Oryzias latipes: one gene and its partners. The protein of the gene in region 4 purifies or fractionates together with the protein of the main gene of each other region. This does not show direct contact. Links are inferred from orthologs where the notes say so. Each region holds a gene or a part of one and is shown on either strand. Other genes may lie near its edges.

Region 1 (4,612 bases), on a different chromosome or scaffold from region 4:
TCAGCCAGTGAGAGCTGGAGGCTCCTGGCTGCACATCCAAGGACAAAGCTGTGTGAAGAAGCTGCAGACTCAACTCTGCATCCACAGAGGAGGAACCTGAGCAGATGTGGAGAACGGATGAAGAACATGTGACGTATTATGTAAAATGTTGAATTCTGATAAATCAAAGTGTACAAAAATAAAACGACTTAGTCATTAGAGGCTATAACAGATGAGGAGCTCATGAACGTTGCACCACTTCTAACAGTTCAAACTGATGATTCTGACACCAAATTTCAGAATAAAAGATTCTTAAGAGTCTTCTTCAAATGTCAGGAACATTGTAAAGGATCCTCACCTACAGATGAAAGGTTAGGGAGGACGAAGGTGTTTATAACCTCCTGAGGTGACAGGAAGCTTTGTTCCTTTCCCTCGTCCACGTTTGGACCCATCAGCAGACCGAGGAATTTGGCAAACTGTTCCTTCTCGTTGGCTGACAGGGACTTGTCCTTGACCGTCTGGTGTAGGCACCTGCAGAGCAGACTAGAGGTCCCGTCTTTAGCCGTGTTCTCCTCTCCGCTCCTCCTTCCATCTCCATCTCCTCCTCTCTGACCGCTGAGTCCAGGCAGATGCTGCAGGATCTTTGCCATCATCGAAAATGCTCCTTTATTGAAAACAGCTGAGTGGCAGCAGGACCGTAAGGCGCCTTCTGGGTTCTGAAAAGCCACTCTGGCTACGAGTGAGACGGCCGTGGTCAGGTTCCCTTGAGGAACAGCTGAGGACGCTCCACTTCCTGCTTGGATGATGCAGTTGAAGGCCATGTTGAGCTCCTGCTCAAACCCTCCAGCCACCTCAGGAGGAACGGGGAATTCGAAGAAGCCCTTCCTAGACAATCTTAACATGGACACCAAGGCTTTGTTCATGTCTTCTAAGGAAAGGCTGGAGAAGATATCTGCTATGATTTTCATCAGCTTTCTGCACTGGCTGACGTCTGCATTCTCCATGCGTAGTTTGTTCATTAGAGTAGAGGAGAGGCCGATCACGGCGTCATGCTGACGGAAGGAAGCTTGGCTCCTCTCCAGGCAATCCATCCAGCCTTCATCACAGTGCGTCCAGGGCGGCTCTCTGGCAAACAAGGCAGCGAAGCTCTCGTGGTCTTCCAGGCGGTGAGTGATGATGGTGGAGAGCACCTGAGCATGCACCTCAGGGCTGCTCTCTGTGACAGGAAGAACCAGAGACTTCAGCACAGCCACGAGCAGGTTCTTCTCTGTCGCTGCTGTGGGAGCTTCTTCCAGAGCAGTGGAGACTCTCTGGACACTTTGCTCCAGCTGGAAAGCAGAGTAGGAGGAGCGAGAGCCGTCCTGGACGTCCAAGAGTCCTCGGTCTTTCCAAGACTGACTAAGTTCTGCTATGACCCTCAGAGCTTCACCCAGATCCATCCTCCTGACTTTGAACTGAGACGGGGAAATCGAAGCCCGTAAATGTCTCTGAGCTTCTTCAACAAGTTCAGGTTGAAGTTTTTCATTCTTTCCTTTAGTACTGATGGCTTTACACAGGATGTCCATCTTCTCCTGAGCTGATAGAACAACTTCTCGGTCTATCAGAAATGATGTAAAAAGAGCATCAAGGGACATGGAGAGAGACTGGAAGCACAGGTCTAATGAGGAGACGTGATCTGCCATGTCTTTGAGGGCATTGAGGAGAATGTGGAAAACATCAGCCTCTGCTGAGTCTTGTGTCTCCAGCTTTAACCTCTTGGCAGCCTGAGGAGACAAACTAGAAGACATGGAGGTGAGACGAGCAACCTGCTTGGCAAACATCATCTCCATGCTCTCGTCGTTTCTGAGCTTGGCTTGCTCTTGGCCTTTCCACAGCTCCCGCCACATCTCTAGAAAGAAATGAACATCCTCTTCGCTTGTAGGCTCGCTCTTCACATGCTCTACCAGCCTCTTCAGCTCCAAGCAGATCAAATCTTCAGGAAGATGAAGGAGAAAACCTGCGTAAACATGTGAAGCAGCAGCGTTCTTCACCAACTCCAACAGGACAACATGGTTAACTTCAGGGAGGCTCTGCTGGAAGGAAAAAAAGGGGTTCTCCCTCCACGCTCTCTCAACATCCTCCTCAGCGCTCAAGAGCTTCAGCCACACAGCACAGACCACCTTCTTCGTCCAGGTCGAGCTGTGATGACCGTCAGCTTCCTCCAGTTCACAGACTTCCTGCAGAGCCTGTAGGATCGGGCGTCCCGCCGCGATCCAGTCGGATTTGTTCACGCAGGATAGAAATGAGGGGCGACACAGTTTGTCTGCCAGCAGGAAAGCCCCCTGCAGAACCGCAGAGCCTGAAATCACATGACATAATCAGAGCCCTGAAGTGCCAATCACATCATCATATCAATGTAAAGACATCTTAAAGATAACAACAACAAAAGCAATAAAATAACAAGAAAACGTTACATTTGATAAATCTAAACAAAATTAAAGCGGGGGGTGGGGTGGGGTGTCAAGTTTTCATTCAAATATGCAGTAAGAAACAAGAATTGCAAAAACAATTTTGTTTTTGCATTCCAGGACTGCTGTGTGATGTTTTAAAACAGTAATTTGTGGATGTGATTTGAACTTCAGGGCCACCGTATCCACAGATAAAAACACCAAAGCTTCTTCTCAACTTTCAGATATGATCTCCAATAAATAACTCAGTTTTCATGGACAGAGCCATATAGTTTTTATTGTGTTTAATGTGTGAGTGTTTGTGTGCGTTCGTCTTTATGTCAGGATCAGTGTAGATCTTGTTGTTATTCACCTTTTGCCAAATCCCTTCAGGGGATCCATATGTCATTCATTTTACCACACCAAACTCAGTTTCCCACAATTCAAAGCGGTTCACCGCGTGTGTAAATCGGTATGAATGCGTCGTGTGTTGGAAAAACAATTTAAATTAAAAAACATTGCTTTTCTTTATTAAATAATATTTTCTTTTGTAAGAATTTATTTTAACTTAAAGTCAGTGACTTAACTGGTCTACAGAGAGAGTAAAAATAAAAGCTATTTTACCTTTGTCCATTATCACCGTGATAATTGTTGCGTGCAGGTAAATACCAGTGTAATCCGTTTACCTGGAAACTCTCTAAACGCGCCGTTACGTTCACGGTTTCCGAAGTTTAAAGTTAGATTTCTGAAACAACATAATCCAACTAAAAACATCCACAGCAGAACTGCGCAGCCGCAAACACGCTTCCGCCATGCGACGCATATACCGGATGTTTGTTCACAGCGACGCACCCGGATAAATTCGGTACTGCAGTTTTAACGTTTTTCTTCGGAGCGAGATTTAAATATTTTACATCAGATTTAAACGTCATTTCATTTGTTATTGTGTTTATGAATATATATAAAAATGTTTTTTTTTTGTTATGGTTTTAATCTTGTAGGTCATGTGACGCGAGCTAAAGGCAAATCGTTTTTTTTCTGCAGAAGTGAAAATGAAAGTACTTTTTAGATCCTGGCTGCTGGTAGAAACAAGGTGAACCAAGAAATTCAATTGAATAATCAAAATGGGAGTATTTCAGAAAGTTGTTATTTACTTTTATGTGATTGGAGGTAAGTTATTTTAAAGTATGTTTGCAGCTGTTCTATCAGTTAGTTCATGAAAGGAACTAAATTTAAATGAAGGGTGTGTTTAATGTTAGTTTTTCTGTGTTCTCAGTTGTGAGGAGCGTTCAGCAGATACCATGGCTGTCATGTCAGTTCACTGACGAACATGTGTCCAACAACAGTGAAGGACACATTGAGACACAGCTCATTCCCAGAGAGGCTATGGTTCAGTTTGGTCTAAAAGGAGACGCTCCTGTCAATCCCCACGCCATCACCTTCCTGATCACTGGTGAGCTTCTGTCCAAGACACGAATCGGGGCAGGAAAGAATTACATTCATGACTTTTTATGTTGCTTTAGTTTCAAAACTGGACCTGCAGCGGTCCATTGAAGGGGTGGAGGTAGAGGAGTTGGAGTGTGAGGTCCGACGGTACAGCACAGAGGGCATCCATGTCCGCTGGCCCGCCCTGGGGGCAGAGGGGTACAACCGCTGGTACACCTGCATCCTCAGACACAGAAAGGACAAGTTCAGCGTCACTGCTTTCCTCAGACATCCGTCTGACCAACCTCCTCCAGGACAGCAGGACTACCGCAGCTGGCCGCCCATCGCCGACCGAGAGGTTCTTACCACCACAGGTAGGTGTCCCCTTCATCTGACGCTGCTTCTGCATGTCAGAACGAAGGCCTGTAAGAGGGTTCATCCTATTTGTGTCCATAGTCGCCATGTTGCTGAAAACAGAGACTCCATCTGTGAAAGTCAGACTACGCTCGCAGCCCAAACTCCACTGTCAGTTCAGCATCGACCACCGAGGCCCAAACGTCACCGTGGAGTGGCACTGGCAGTCCCGCGGAGAGAGAAGGATGCTCTTCCGCTACAACAGCCGCTCCGGGGAGATTCATGGCTCTGGAGTTGGGAAGAAGGCCCTGGCTGGGGGAGATGCCTCCTACACTCTCCCCTTCACCAAGATGAGCAGCGAAGGAAGCTACATTTGTTCTTTGACTGTGAACCCGCTTTTCGCCAACATGGAGCTCAACCTGCACGTC
Region 2 (4,479 bases), on a different chromosome or scaffold from region 4:
ATGTAAATAGCTCAAAACTGAATTCACATAAAGACCAAAATTTCATATGAAGAAAATGCAAATGTAAGTAGTGGCTATGTGACATACAAGGCCATCATCAGAAAATACCACAAGAACATGTTAAAAACCCAATTTTCATCTGAGTGGGTCTTTACTTCACATTTCACATCCACAAATTGAGATTTTGCCAAATCCCTGCTCCTTTATGTTCTACATTTTTATAAAGCTTATTTACTCAAAAGAAGATTGAAATTACTTTTTTATCATCTGTTCAGTTAAAAAACAATTACCTGGTTTAGTCTGCATACGATGGTTAAGAATGGAGGAAACCCAACCTGAAAAAAAATGAAAACAAACACATCAGTAAAATCTAGTTTTCACGTTGTCCCTCAATGTAACATGCCTATTAAAGTGCCTTATTTCTGGGGCTGGAGGGGGGCAGTGGAGGCTTCGTTAGTTAGGGGGACCTGGTTGGGCGCCTGGAAGTGGGCAGGTGGGGGTACTGCATGGTCTTGGGAGAGTTTGGTCGGTGCGGTTGAGGGGGTCTGGCTTGGCTTGGGGAGTGGTCTTTTCAGGGGGGGTTAGGACAGGAGGAGGAGGTGCAGGCCCAGGTGCAGGAGACCCTGGGCCTGCACCTCTGCACTCTTCTGGTCCTGGGACGGGGTGGGGCAACCCTCTTGGGGTTTGCAGTTGCTCTGGGTGACACCTGCCATGGCTGCAGGATCTGGGGGGGGGGGGGGGGGGGGGGGGGGGGGGGGGGGCTGGTAGACTGGTTGGCTCTGTCCTCTGGGAAGGGGGTCCTCCATCAGGATGGGACTACAGAGGGTTGGGGTCAGCAATGAGACAATCATGGAGAGCCCTGGCTGGTCAAACTGCCTCGGTCAAGTTGGTGTGCTTTCTTGGCTCCTCTCTCTTTATGTATGCATAAGTATTTTTGTGTGAGCTGTAGTTGTATCGTGTATGTGTTGACATATGGAATGTGAAGATTTCACACAGGTATGTTTGTAACATACCTGTTAGCTCCTTTTGACTAATGCCTTAATCTGACAGTAATAATGATAAACCTCCAGCAACTTTTTGCTTTATGATTCTGAATCTACCCCCACTCTACTTCTTTGATCATGCTCCAACTTCCTTTAACCCCCCCCCCCTTTTCCCTTTTCAAAACAGGTATACAAACATAATCAATATAAATAAAGTTTACCCTCAAATACAGAAGAGTTTAAATAAATATACCCCTTGTGTGTCAGAAGATTCATGACCCCCTATTGTAACAGTAAAATCTCTCAAACACAAGAGGCCTTCAGCTCTGATCTGTTTGCTCAGCTGTTGGACAGAACAAGTTAACAAAAAAGAAAAAAAGTCTTATTTGAAACTTTTTGTTTCAAAACTTTGGCGTTTAAAAATTCTAACAACAGTTTAGTTGACAACCTTGCTATAGTCCAGTTCTGCCTCTGGTTTTGCATCTGTGGGGCAGGCTGATGCGCCCAAGTAGATCCTCTCTCCTAAACAAAACTTCTTCCAGCCCTCCTCATCTGTAAGGTTTGGCTGTAAAAGATCACACTTAAATATTATGCAAATGAGCACCTTTGACCTTTGCTAACATTGCAGCGGGATTTGACATCTTACCATGCGTACATTATTATCCAGAGTCTGGCTGCTCCAATGTTTTCTATTCTTGGTGATGCTCTAGTAAATTAAAAAATTAGACATTATAAGCAGAAATATAAGTGAGATATAAAAGCAACACACTGTTCTTTTAGTTTTTCTTACCCGTCTCACGTCAGAAAAATTACTGACTTGTTGTTGTTGCCAGTGAAGGCTGGGGGAGAAACCTACTGGGGGAGCGTGGCACCCAGCTACCTGAGACAGAAAATATGGTTTTCCAGATTATCATGTCTCTTGGCTGCAGAGTCAACTATACATGACCTCACCACACAGACAAAGCCTTAACAAATAAAGATTTGACCAAATAAATAGATTTTCACTTACAGATACATGGACTGTTTGCTTCTTCTTTAGTTTCTTAGGGTCAATTTGAGCAACCACCACCTCTGGACACATGGACGCTTCCAACCTACATCACAAGGAGGTGAGGGGTCACTGGGAAACACAGCTAATATCTTCTCTTCAATTTCTAAAACGAGTCATTCACAGATGTTGAAATCAATAATCTTTTTATTAGAAGAAGTTGAATTTCTTGCTGCTAAATCTTTTTGGTATTCAACCATGGGTGATTTAAATTGGGAAAAGACTAATACTTCTGTTCATAAATACTGTATTAATATTAAAATAAAATAGGTTTTATTTTGCTTTCTACCCAGTTAAAGATACACTAAGAAGATTTAAAATAAACAGAACAATTTTGTTTTTTGCCAATCAAGTAAGGAGACAATTTTCATTTATTTATTCTTTCTATGTACACCAAGCAATTTTGGTCGGATCTGCGTGAATTTATAACCACAAAATTTAATATAACTCTCTGAATTCTTTTTTTAATGTCATATTATATTTTTAATTACATGGTTTGCCCAAAAAGGTAAGTTTTGTTACTGAACTGTTCATTATTTTTGGGACATTCCTCATTCATACATATAAGCAGTCCATATTGAAGGCGACAAGAACATTTGATATTTTAAAGAAACGGCATATTATATTTTATTTACTTATATTCTATGTTCAAAAATAATTGGACTGGACTGATTATTAAAGTACAGGTGGCACGTGTTGTGCAACCTGTGTAGTGTTTTCTTTTACCTATATTATTCTATTCAGTTAATACAATAAGTATTGATAATAAAGTTTGTTGAAAAGAAACAACAGAAACACTTAAATATACTAAGTGGAGAGCTAATTCCACGGTTCGATACATAGACTGTAAATAGGAACTTTGGTTTTATACAATTTTTTTTATACCAATGCTTTGCTATTCTAAAGCATTTTAATTATGAAAACACTGGCTTTCCACTTTAATGAGAACAGAAGGGAGAACTTACTGGACCTGTCGCAAGTACTCCTGGGGGTTCCTCGGTGGACCGCTGAGGTCTACGTGCTCGGTGTCTTGTCCTAACTCCACCGGAAGCAGCCTTGGCATTAACTCCTCAACATCCGACTTCATTTTCCGCTAATAATGTAAAACTCTTAAGCGAAATCAGGACATTAAAACGAAGACTAGGCAGATGCTAGTATTTACTGTTGTCCAACAAGCGCCATTTTGTTTTTCAAACTAGATTTGATGACGCCAATTTTGTGCGCGAGGCGAGATTTGTTTCCATAGTGACGTGACAGCGCCTGAAACTTTGGCAGCGACAAGGAACGAAGTCCACGAGCATTTTATGTTGCGCATTTAAACACGTTTATTATACCTCAATTCAACCGCAGAAGCTGTTTAATAAATAAAAAAATTTCAAATCAAGTTGGTGAATGAAAAAAATAAACTTTTGACATTAGAGCTAAATTGTTTTGTTCTGCAATCAGGTTACGAGCAACGTTGTTAATTATTAGCTTCATGCTAGCGTTATATCTTATCTCCATTCTTTCGTTTACCACTAGTGAGGTTTCATGAGAGAAACAGCACAGAGTCAATGTCCACTTTCCTGAACAGCAGGTCAAAGGGATTTCTTCTCAAATATGGGACTTTTTCTATGATACACTCCAGCTAAAGCACCCAAAATGGATGTTTCCCTGCTACATAAATTCTGTTGGATTGTGGGTCTAACGTTTGTGATTTTGCCTCTTATAAATCCAGGAATGTTATCCGACTACAAGATCTGTGGAGATTCTGAGTGTGAAAGTAAGTCCAAACACTTGTGTCAAAATAGTTTGAAGTTCCTAAAAAATACTGTTATATTTTATGCATGAATTTAGCTTAGTTGGTTTATTAAAGACATTTTAATCATTTTAATGCAACTGATCACTTGTGTTTGTGTGTGTAGGCCTAATGAGCAGGGTTCAGGCCATAAGGGACCACAAGAGTAACGACTGCCGTTTTCTAAGCTTCAGACGTGGAGATATCATTTTTGTCTACCACAAACTTACAGGAAAGAGGGAGGATCTGTGGGCAGGCAGTGTATGTCCAATTTTCATCTCTTTTATATCTCTGTCGCCTCCTTATCATGAAACCTTAATGTAAATTGTCCCTTATCCAAGGTCTTTGGTTGAACAAAACAATATTCCTTATTATACAAAAAGCCTTAGTGTTTATTTGGGATGCTGACATCTTTGACTTTCATTTAACCGTTGGATGGAAGAGTTTTATTTTGAATGTTTAAATATAGTCATGTTTAAACTAATTTGAAAATTCTGTTAGAATTTAATATTTTGATGCCTGTTCTTGTACTCACGCAATGACAATAATATTGAATCTAATCTAATTTTTGTGTTTTTGACCTGTTAAATATGAATTAGATTTTGATTTCTTTAGTTTCAGAGCATCTTATCAAAAGCTTGTTGCTTTTCAGCATTTAAGTTTCACATATC
Region 3 (4,413 bases), on a different chromosome or scaffold from region 4:
CTGAGTTTGAAGCCAAAAGATCTGATTCTGAAATCAGATCTTTTGTGTTTAGCAGGAGAAGACTCGCCTCCCGGTCCATGGAGGTGCTGAAGAGCAGCTCCCCTCCGTCCTGCAGACGCAGCGAGCTGGTGTTGAAGACGATCCGGCTGTGGTTCTGACCCTCTGAGGAGGACCCGAACAACGTCCAGCGCTGCTTCCCGCCTTTGGTCAGGTCCCACAGCAGCAGCTCTCCGCTGGGGGAGCACAGAGGAACATGAAGGTGCGGTCGCAGCTCCGAGCGGGACGCTGCCGGATCTACCTGAAGCAGCTGGACACCAGCTCGGTGGGTCGTCCCGGGGGCCAGAGGACGCTGAGCCAGATCCGCTCTTTGACCCCGGGGTCGACGGCGGAGGCTCTTCTCTTCAGAAACGGCAGCTTTAAGGTCATCACTCCTGCAGGAGGAGAGCAGCGTTCTCACCTTTAACAGCTTTTTACTCGATACGAAAACTCCACGGGCAGAGATGTTTGGGAAGGAGGAAAAAGATGACCAGAATGGAGTGTTATTTACGCCGCCACGCTGCGAACTCAACTTCCTAAGTTGTCAAGGAAAATATTTTTGCTTTATCAAAAATAAACATGCAAATGTTTGACCTGATTGGTTAGAATCTGGATTCTGGGCCGCTGCTGCTGCGGCGGGGGTCTTGGGATGGGGGTGGCTGGTCACTCTCTCTCCCTTCTTTTCACATTCCACCATCCATTTTAGAAGAACATAAACACTCACCTGAACACAGGTGTTAGCTCACCTTTGCACTAATAGTTTGCATGATTGAATAAAATATTTCACACTAGTTGGTTTGAGGCATAAGTATGCGTGTGTGAACACTATCTGTTTTGTGTACATGTTGACATGTGGACATTTTTGCAGCTAGAAAGCGTGTTGATAACATTTGAGTGTGTGGACAGGCCCCGCCCTTTTGAGATTTGTATTCTATCTGTAACTTACCGTAATGATAAACATCCAGAAACTTGTTGCTTTATGCTGCTTCATGGTTTTACCCCCCATTTTTTATAATCACCCTCCTATGCCACTCTCTCTAATATCCCTCTCTCTTCTTCCCTCCTTTCCTTTTCCGTCCGGTCCAACACAAAAAAATTAATAAAGTTTGGCCTGGATTCCAAAAGGGGTTTATTCAGTCATACCTCTGGTTTGTCTGAAGATTCATAACCCCTCTTGTTAAAGTAAAATATGTCCAACACAAGAGGCCCTCAGCTCTCATCTGCCTGCCCAGCTGTTGGACAGGACAAGTTAAGAAAAAACTATTTGAAAGCAAATATTTAATATTTTCATTTGCGACTTAGAAGGTTTTGTCTGCAACGTGGTGGCATAGATATCACTCCATAGAACAGAGGAGCTGCTGCAGCTCCCGATGAGAAAATGTTCCGATCTTCTCCCCTCACCTTTGCCCCTGGAGGTGCTCCACACCCTCACCGTCTGGTCTTTGCTCCCAGAAGCGAGGTAGCATCCGTGTTCTCCTGCAGACCCTCCGTTTGCTGCTGCAAAACCACAGAATCCGTTTAGAGTCGCTGCTGAAACGACCTGCAGCCCAAACCCGCTCCGTTCTGCAGAACCTTCGTCGTCCTCAGCTCTGCTGAACAGCGCCGACTCCCCCGACACAGGCGACCACGCCAGCGAGTGGATCTCATTGTCGTGTCCACGGAGACGGTGCATCACCTCCCCTTTCTTACTGACATCCACCAGCACGATCATCCCGTCTTTGTACCTGCAGCCAAGAAAAAATAAAAAAATCACACACAACGTCCTGACCTCCAGTCTTTCTCCTCTGATTCACTTCTCTGAAGGATTTTCAAAACAAAGCTTGGAAACTCTAAAACATGGATAGCTGCTCTGAGTCTAGACGGTAACCATGGTGATTTCCCAGTACCCAATAGCCACAGAGCTCCAGGTGTGAGGCGAGCAGGTGAGGCAGACGATGGTCCTGGGCTCAGGGAAGAAGCTGGCGGTGTCTCCGGTGTGGAACCAGTGGCACACCACCACCCCTTTCTCGTCCCCCGACACCACCAGGTCTTTGTCCACAGGAGACCAGTGCAGAGCCGAGACGGGGGTCTGTGTGGAAAACCGCATCTCCGTGAGGACCACCAGAACATCCACTTCCCTCCGACAGCTCCGACTAAAACAGTGGAGCCTGTGGGAGGGGCCAACGTGACCTGAAACCTCACCTGATGAGCCACCTGCTCCCTGACCAACGTCCTGCTGTTTGAGTCCCAGAAGCGGACGCTGCCGTCGGTGGAGGAGCTGGCGCAGACATGGTTCTGACCCGCGTGCTGACAGAAAGAAAAGCCCGACACCAGGTCCGCGTGGCCCACCAGCTGTCCTGCAGAACCCACAGCAACAGCCGGGTCAGCCGTGGGAGCGGAGCTCAAAGAAAACACGACTGCCCCATGAAGGGCAGAGGGGGAGCAGGTTGGAACGGGGGGAGGAAGGGTCCGGTGTGACCAAAGAGTGTCATGAATTATGAAAGATGGTGGAGAGAGCACCAATGTTGACGGCTTAGAGACAGGAAGCAGAGATGAAGATGCTGAGCTTCTCTTTGGGACCAGGATGGATCAGGAATGAGTCCATCAGAGGAACAGACAGGTAGATGTTCTGGAGACCCATGCAGGAAAGCAGATGGAGATGTTTGGACAGGTTAGAGGAGGAACAGGGAAGCTACCAGGAAAGAGGAGGATGAGGAGGATGAAGGCAGGGTTAGGGGGAGATTGTGGCTGCGGGAACAGACTCCACAGTTTCCTGTTCGTCTGTTTCAGGGCAGAGATCCCACTCACCTGTGACTCGGCACGCGGAGGCGCTCACGTCAATCAAATAAACCACATTTCTGGCACCGACACCCAGTAAGCCACTGCTGCTGACGTCACTGCAGCGCGAGCAGTACCAGTTCGGCGAGGCGGGCAGAGACCTGTCGGCCATGGCGCCCTGCAAACTTTAAAAAAAGGTGATTTCTGCTCCTGAAGTTTAAAATCAAGCTCCTCACGTGTCCTCAACGTAACAACACAAACTGCCGCACGAGGTGTCTGCTGTCGTAAATCTCGTGCATAGATTACGGCACCCTAACTGGGTCAAATATATCAGACTTTGCTCTTTTATTTTTCCTTATTGCGTTTTCATTTATATTTTTATATAATCATAAAAAATAAAGTAAAAACGTTTTTTAAAGTATTTAAGATCTCAAATGACCGGATAATCTTCATTTCTTTCCCCCGGAAGTATTTACGACAGTCAGGCGAAGAATGCGGCTGATCAGAAATCCATCATGGCGGCCGCAGGGGCTGGATCTGGTGAGAAATGAAAAGAAAAACTTCATTTAAATCTACAAATGCTTACATTTAAAAGTGGTTTGTTTGAGTCTGTCTCTGCTTTGACTTTATCTAACTCTTGGTTCAGGTTTCTCCTTCGTCAGAAGCCTTTCCGGACTATTTCGTTCAAGGTGAGAACAAACGGTTTCAACAAACGTTTTGGTTTTTTTTTCTCTTTTTTTGAAGGTAAAAACTAAATTCAAAGAATATTTTAGAATGGATCAGAAACGATTGATTACGTTTACTACTGACATAAACGTGCTTAGTGACATTAAATTAGACAAACAACCTGGACATACTAAGAAAACGAGGTTATATGGTTTAAAATGGGAATTATTTTCTGCTTTTATTATATTTGAGCAAAAGCTGCAAAATAACTGATGAAAACATTACAGAGGAAATATTGTAATATTTTTAAAGCAACTACTAAATAAACATAAAATAATTTCATAATAATTTTGAAAAGGTGAATAAAATTCACATAAAACGTGTAAAAATGGCTGAAAGACTGGCAGTTTTAAGAGTTAAACATGTAAAAGTGAGCACACAGCGATTGCAATGATTTTCATCGCTGCTCTCTTCCTCAGCAGGTTGGCCGCTCCACCCCAGCGGCTCTCGTGGCTCCACACCGGCTCTTCGCTGAGCTCAAAGAGCTGGGAGAGGAAGAACCTGAAGGTGTTTCCACCCCAGCAGCCAGAGGAGCCCCGCAGACCAGCCGTGAGTCCGTCCGCTGACCGCCTGAGAACGTTTCCGCTGCTGCTTTTCCATCAAGCTGGCTTTCCTCTTCCTGCAGGAGATCCACCACTGCAGGAGGCAGATCAAATACAGCAAAGACAAGATGTGGTACCTGGCTAAAATGGTGAGAAGTCTGAGCTGGATCTGAGAACCATGACTGTAAATGAAACTCAGTGGTTAAACCTCTACATTGATATTCACCGAAGTTCTGCAGATGAAATACTCTGTCAAGTCTGATTCTTTGTGTTGTAAAGCACACAAAGAGTCATTTAAATTCATTAAAACTTTATTGTTCCACTAAGGAACTCTGACATGGACTTTAGGGCT
Region 4 (4,870 bases):
TCAAAAAGTCAAAAATGTCAGCAGGACTCACATGGCAGAGCATGCAAACTAAGACCACATTTCTGAGCGATGGCCATCATCTTGTTTTCTTCTTCACCATGGCAACAGTAGGTCACAGCCAGCCCATGAGTGCCTAGTAACCAAACAGAGAAATCACAAAGAAAGCTCTCCTTTCTGTAGAACTAAATTGAAATGGAGTAAAAGTCGTGATGATACATTGATACACCCCTTTCACACCAATCAACAAATTAGATCGATTTGGTTACACTAAAAACTTCAGAGTTCCAATACGTTCCCTTCAAATCTGAATATAAATGAATGCAAAAAAAAAAGCACAGAATTCTAAAAAATTCAGATGGACATTTTGACCTGAAGGTATTTGAGTGAGAGTTAAGCTGATGAGGAAACATCTGCAGCAAAAAGCTGCTGGTTCCTGAAAACCTGAACAGATGAAGGATTCTGCAACAAAGACGCAACACTCCTCCACTAATAATCCATCCAGACTTCCTCAATGATTCACAAAGATTGCTCCATGTTGTTGGAGGCGTACCAAAGCGCCCAGCCCGTCCGATCCTGTGCATGTAAGTTTCCCAATCCTGCGGCACGTCCAGGTTTATAACCAGGTTTACTTTCTCAGCATCGATTCCTCTGGACGTCTGTCAAAGGGAAGCAAACAGGAAGCAGCACCAACATTATTAAGGACAGGAAACCAGATATTTTACATTTCTGCTTTCGTTCTTGTTTAAATAAGGCTGTGGTTGATGAAATATAAAAAGGTCAGAATCCCTCCTTGTAAAAACAAAATAAAAATAAAAATAAAAAAAGTAAAAGTAATAACAGCAAAGCCGTTCTCTCACCAGGTCAGTGGAGATGAGCACTCTGCACTGGTATTGCTTCAGTTTTGACATGGCTTCCAGTCTCTGATCCTGACTGAGTCCACCTGTGCAGATTAACACGCACCACCTATAACCGCACATGAAACTTTACCTTTGCCATAAAAAAAAAAAATTAAAAAAACCACAAAGCTTCAAAAACTGTCATGGTCCCACCTAAATTATGGTTGTTAAAAATATTCAAATTAGCAAATGAAAACATGTACATGTAACTTATTTCTTAAAACTGATTCTATTGCTGCTCATTACAATGATTTTACAGTTGCTGCCTCACCTGATATGCAGACAGCAGGTAAGCCTTTGGAGGACACGATGTCTGCCAGGTGCTGCGCCCTGCCGCAAAAAAAAACCCCCAGCCCATTTCAGCAAGAAATCCATTCTCTCCGCGCTTGGTGAAACAATTAATCGACAGCAGCAGCTGCGGAGCGAAGGTTAACACGGAGAGCGCACCTACCGTGTGTGCAGGTTGGAAAACACTAAAGCTTGGTTGAATGGAATTTTACTGAACAGTTCCAGTAAATGCTGCACTTTCTCCTCAAAAATCTTGTGAGGAAGAGGATGGGAAGGCACCAGCTTGTAAAACTGCTTCAGACCTGCCAGGGGAACAAAAAACAGCATATGTGAGATACAGGTCAGGGATCAGGTTTGACACCAAAGAACGCTCAATCCTGAAAAGCGTTTCAATGAAAATATATTTTGTTAAATCAACTCAAAAGCTTTTTTATTTTTTAAAAAGACGACATCAGTGCTTTAAAAAGATCTACAACTGTAGTTTTTTAGCGCTGGATAATCAAATAAAACCAAAACAAAAGGAAAGAAGTTTGTCAGGAAATGAAAGGTGTGCTGATTGAACTTTTTCTAAAGTGGACCTCACCTTTCAGCCCCATGTCTTTAGGATTGAGTCGAACAAAAGTAGGCTCGTTCATGTAGCGGGTAAGGTGTTGAGCCAGGGATTCTGGGTATGTGGCAGAAAGTGCCAGCATCTGTTTGTTGACGGGCAGAGCTGAGAAGATCCAGCTTAAGAAAGAGTAAACAATGTCCTGCTTCATTTTTATTTCAATTTGAACACAACATGTGAAGGGGAAAACACAAGAAAGGAACTATAATGCAACAGCAGTTGTGTCCTTGTTACTTGATTTGCTCCTGGAAGCTCCCCTCCTCCAGCAGTTTGTCAGCTTCATCCAGAACAAACAGTCGGATGCTGGCAGTGGACAGCATGCCCAGCTCGATCAGCTGTTTGATGCGACCTAAGGGGACAACGGGAGCATCCTCGTCATCAGATACCAAACTAAAAAATTACGTGAGCGGTTTATGGGATGTCCAGTGGGCTCTTACCAGGTGACCCCACAGCTATATGACACTTCTTCAGGTGGGATTTGTCTTGGCTCACAGGCCTGCCCCCGATGAAAACGTGGCACTCCAGGCCCTCCATGGCACAGCCGATGGCCATGACCACTGAGTGGATCTGCACCGCTATTTCCCGCGTGGGAGCCAAAACAAGAACCTGCAGGAGAACCCAAGCTGTTTATGGGCAAAATGCGATGGACTATAAAAGTTGAGATTTTTGGTTTAAATCGACATTTCTTAAATACTGTAAGATCTATAAAAATTGGGAAATTTGAGACTAGATTCAAACATTACATTTTATATTCCCTTTAATATATTACCAAATTCTTTTGGAAAGACAGATGGTTAACCTAATTTAATTGGAACTTCCAAAACCAATGAGCTTTCTATAATAAAATTTTACTGTGGACACTAAAGCTTTTGTTCATAAATGCATGATGCAAAACAACATGGGAACACTGACTCACTGACTCACCTGAGTGGCAGAGTTCTCCAGGATCAGAGAGTCCAGAGCGATGGTGCAGAACACGCATGTCTTTCCTGTGCCAGACTTGGCTTGTACGATTAAATCTGAAACAAGACATCTAGAGTAAGACCTACTTCAAAAATGAGATCGATAACAGTCATCAAAAAACAAAACAAGTGAAGTGCCAACCGAGTCCACATCGGCCGAGCGGGATCGCCTTGAGTTGTATCGGCGAAGGTTTCTGGAAACCAGCAGCGGACAGTCCGTCCAGAACGGGCTGCGATAACAACAGAGAGCTGAAGTCGATGCCCTCCGACAGGAGCACGTCCTCGGTCCGATTTCGCGTTTCGATGTCATGGCCTGCTTTTCTCACAGAGGAAGCCATGTTTCTTTCCGCTGTTTTTTTTCCACGCTGCTTATCAGAACTGAAAGCCCCAGGTAGCAGTGACCTCAAATTGCAATGTCTGCCACCTACTGGCGTGGAGGGCAATTGCTTACTCAGAGTTGCAACCAAGGGGATGGGCAGTGGAATTGCAATTTAATTTGTTACTATGACAACAGATGTAGTTTTGATCTTGCGGCAAGCTAGACAGACAGCAGGGGCTGGCTGAGGAACAGATGCCTCCCTGGTCATTCAGCCGCCTCTGGAGCAGGGGTTTCTGGGAGATTTTAAACCTCCCTCCTTGCCTGGTGATTGGTGGAATGTGAACCCCCTCAACCAGCTCTGCAGGAGGCAGCAGCAAAAAGGAAGCTGGAAAACTGTCTGTCGTTGAACATTGTCAATGCATAGTAATCTGTCATTGTAATATTTATTTTGTAATACATGTAACATCCCCTGGCATTCTTGTTGTTATGAATATTGTTCTTTTCATGCATATTTGTTTTATTTGTTTTGAATAATAGAGTTAAAGAAAAGCAAAAAGGAAGCTGGACGTAAGCAGGAGGTGAAAAATTACACGCAGCATTCACACAAGACAAGAACACACAAAAATACACACAAGACCAGGGTTGGTAACATGCACAGATCCGTATTGAAACTTTCCATAATTATAAAAAACACTTTAAAGAGAAAAACTCAATAAAAAATGAAAATGTAATGAAATTTTGTTTTTAACATTGAAAATGCTCTTAAACAGCTAGGAAATTACTGAACTCTAAAAAATACATACTTACGCTTTATCAAGTTTTTTTTTAATTATTCCTGACACTACATTTGTGTCACCTATATTTGTTTAACATCACACATTTAGATTATAGATTTTTATAGATTTTAGTTCAAATTTACATCTAACCTGGAGGGTTTTAGCCATCTTTTGAGACCTTCAAAATATACATGTAATCTCCATACATTTCCTGGGTGATTTTGTTAATTACAAATTTGAATCGATTAAAGCAGGGGTGTCAAACTCATTTTGGTTCGGGGGCCACATTCAACCCGTCTGATCTCAAGTGGGCCGGACCAGTAGCGTGAAGGCAAAATAACAGCTTTATTCTTGTTTTTTTACCCAATTGGAAAACATTCATTCATTCATTTTCTATGAATTTTGAGGCTGCCAGAGCCTATCCCGGCCACTTGTGGGCAAAGGCAGGGGGGACACCCTGAACAAGTCGCCAGTTTGTTGCAGGGTAGAATGTCCTCACTCACACACCCATTCACTCCCGCACTCACACCTAGGGTCAATTTAGAGTTGCCAATTAACCTATGAAGCATGTTTTTGGATGGTGGGAGGAAGCCGGAGACCCCGGAGAGAACCCACGCATGCACGGGGAGAACATGCAAACTCCACACAGAAAGGTCCCCCATTGATGTTCTGTTTTTCATGTCCCCCAGCTGGGACTTGAACCAGGGGGATTCTTGCTGTGAGGCAAGAGCGCTAACCACTGCGCCACCGTGCAGCCCAATTGGAAAACATGCCTCAACCAACATGGTAGCCTAATCAATTCTTATTACACATTCATTCACAGAGGCCAATGGATCTTAAAATAAAATGAATTTCACTTTTTAAAAAAAAGAAAAAGAAAAAATAATTATTTTATAAAAATATTGGTTTGTTCAATTTTATACAGACTGAATATTTTAAATCTGACACTGAAGCAATTCTGATAATAAATTCAAGAGGGGCTACAGAAAAAATGAAACATCTAAACAACTTAAATGTAAACA

The links. The genes of interacting proteins can lie anywhere in the genome.
Region 1: the proteins of ddx20 (region 4) and gemin4 purify together in Homo sapiens (co-immunoprecipitation; 7 studies listed by BioGRID and IntAct, counting the BioPlex papers as one, with this or other methods). This does not show direct contact. The link is inferred for Oryzias latipes from reciprocal best matches to the Homo sapiens genes DDX20 and GEMIN4.
Region 2: the proteins of ddx20 (region 4) and gemin2 purify together in Homo sapiens (affinity purification with mass spectrometry; 6 studies listed by BioGRID and IntAct, counting the BioPlex papers as one, with this or other methods). This does not show direct contact. The link is inferred for Oryzias latipes from reciprocal best matches to the Homo sapiens genes DDX20 and GEMIN2.
Region 3: the proteins of ddx20 (region 4) and gemin5 purify together in Homo sapiens (affinity purification with western blotting; 6 studies listed by BioGRID and IntAct, counting the BioPlex papers as one, with this or other methods). This does not show direct contact. The link is inferred for Oryzias latipes from reciprocal best matches to the Homo sapiens genes DDX20 and GEMIN5.

What each region holds. Positions count from the first base shown.
Region 1 is NC_019871.2:19,887,017-19,891,628, reverse strand, and holds the start of gemin4 (gem-associated protein 4), read right to left. Parts: upstream 3,251-4,612; 5' UTR 3,180-3,250; coding exon 3,092-3,179; exon of another isoform or gene 3,040-3,091; coding exon of another isoform or gene 3,030-3,039; intron 2,318-3,029; coding exon 338-2,317; intron 97-337; coding exon 1-96. Other genes in the region: tapasin-related protein, read left to right, coding at 3,530-3,575, 3,682-3,858, 3,929-4,204, 4,287-4,612. UniProt on the Homo sapiens protein: The SMN complex catalyzes the assembly of small nuclear ribonucleoproteins (snRNPs), the building blocks of the spliceosome, and thereby plays an important role in the splicing of cellular pre-mRNAs.
Region 2 is NC_019880.2:19,642,985-19,647,463, forward strand, and holds the start of gemin2 (gem-associated protein 2), read right to left. Parts: upstream 3,251-4,479; 5' UTR 3,119-3,250; coding exon 2,997-3,118; intron 2,093-2,996; exon of another isoform or gene 2,078-2,092; coding exon 1,993-2,077; intron 1,864-1,992; coding exon 1,774-1,863; intron 1,690-1,773; coding exon 1,630-1,689; intron 1,549-1,629; coding exon 1,432-1,548; intron 336-1,431; coding exon 291-335; intron 1-290. Other genes in the region: transport and Golgi organization protein 1 homolog, read left to right, coding at 3,673-3,793, 3,936-4,069. UniProt on the Homo sapiens protein: The SMN complex catalyzes the assembly of small nuclear ribonucleoproteins (snRNPs), the building blocks of the spliceosome, and thereby plays an important role in the splicing of cellular pre-mRNAs.
Region 3 is NC_019872.2:29,402,339-29,406,751, forward strand, and holds the start of gemin5 (gem-associated protein 5), read right to left. Parts: upstream 3,251-4,413; 5' UTR 3,247-3,250; coding exon 3,233-3,246; intron 3,093-3,232; exon of another isoform or gene 2,979-3,092; coding exon 2,824-2,978; intron 2,373-2,823; coding exon 2,218-2,372; intron 2,105-2,217; coding exon 1,923-2,104; intron 1,761-1,922; coding exon 1,609-1,760; intron 1,534-1,608; coding exon 1,438-1,533; intron 432-1,437; coding exon 299-431; intron 234-298; coding exon 68-233; intron 1-67. Other genes in the region: mrpl22 (39S ribosomal protein L22, mitochondrial), read left to right, coding at 3,309-3,333, 3,440-3,482, 3,939-4,068, 4,145-4,210. UniProt on the Homo sapiens protein: The SMN complex catalyzes the assembly of small nuclear ribonucleoproteins (snRNPs), the building blocks of the spliceosome, and thereby plays an important role in the splicing of cellular pre-mRNAs.
Region 4 is NC_019865.2:14,534,891-14,539,760, forward strand, and holds the start of ddx20 (probable ATP-dependent RNA helicase DDX20), read right to left. Parts: upstream 3,145-4,870; 5' UTR 3,092-3,144; coding exon 2,896-3,091; intron 2,811-2,895; coding exon 2,716-2,810; intron 2,398-2,715; coding exon 2,229-2,397; intron 2,141-2,228; coding exon 2,026-2,140; intron 1,911-2,025; coding exon 1,768-1,910; intron 1,487-1,767; coding exon 1,348-1,486; intron 1,227-1,347; coding exon 1,168-1,226; intron 941-1,167; coding exon 858-940; intron 657-857; coding exon 551-656; intron 134-550; coding exon 32-133; intron 1-31.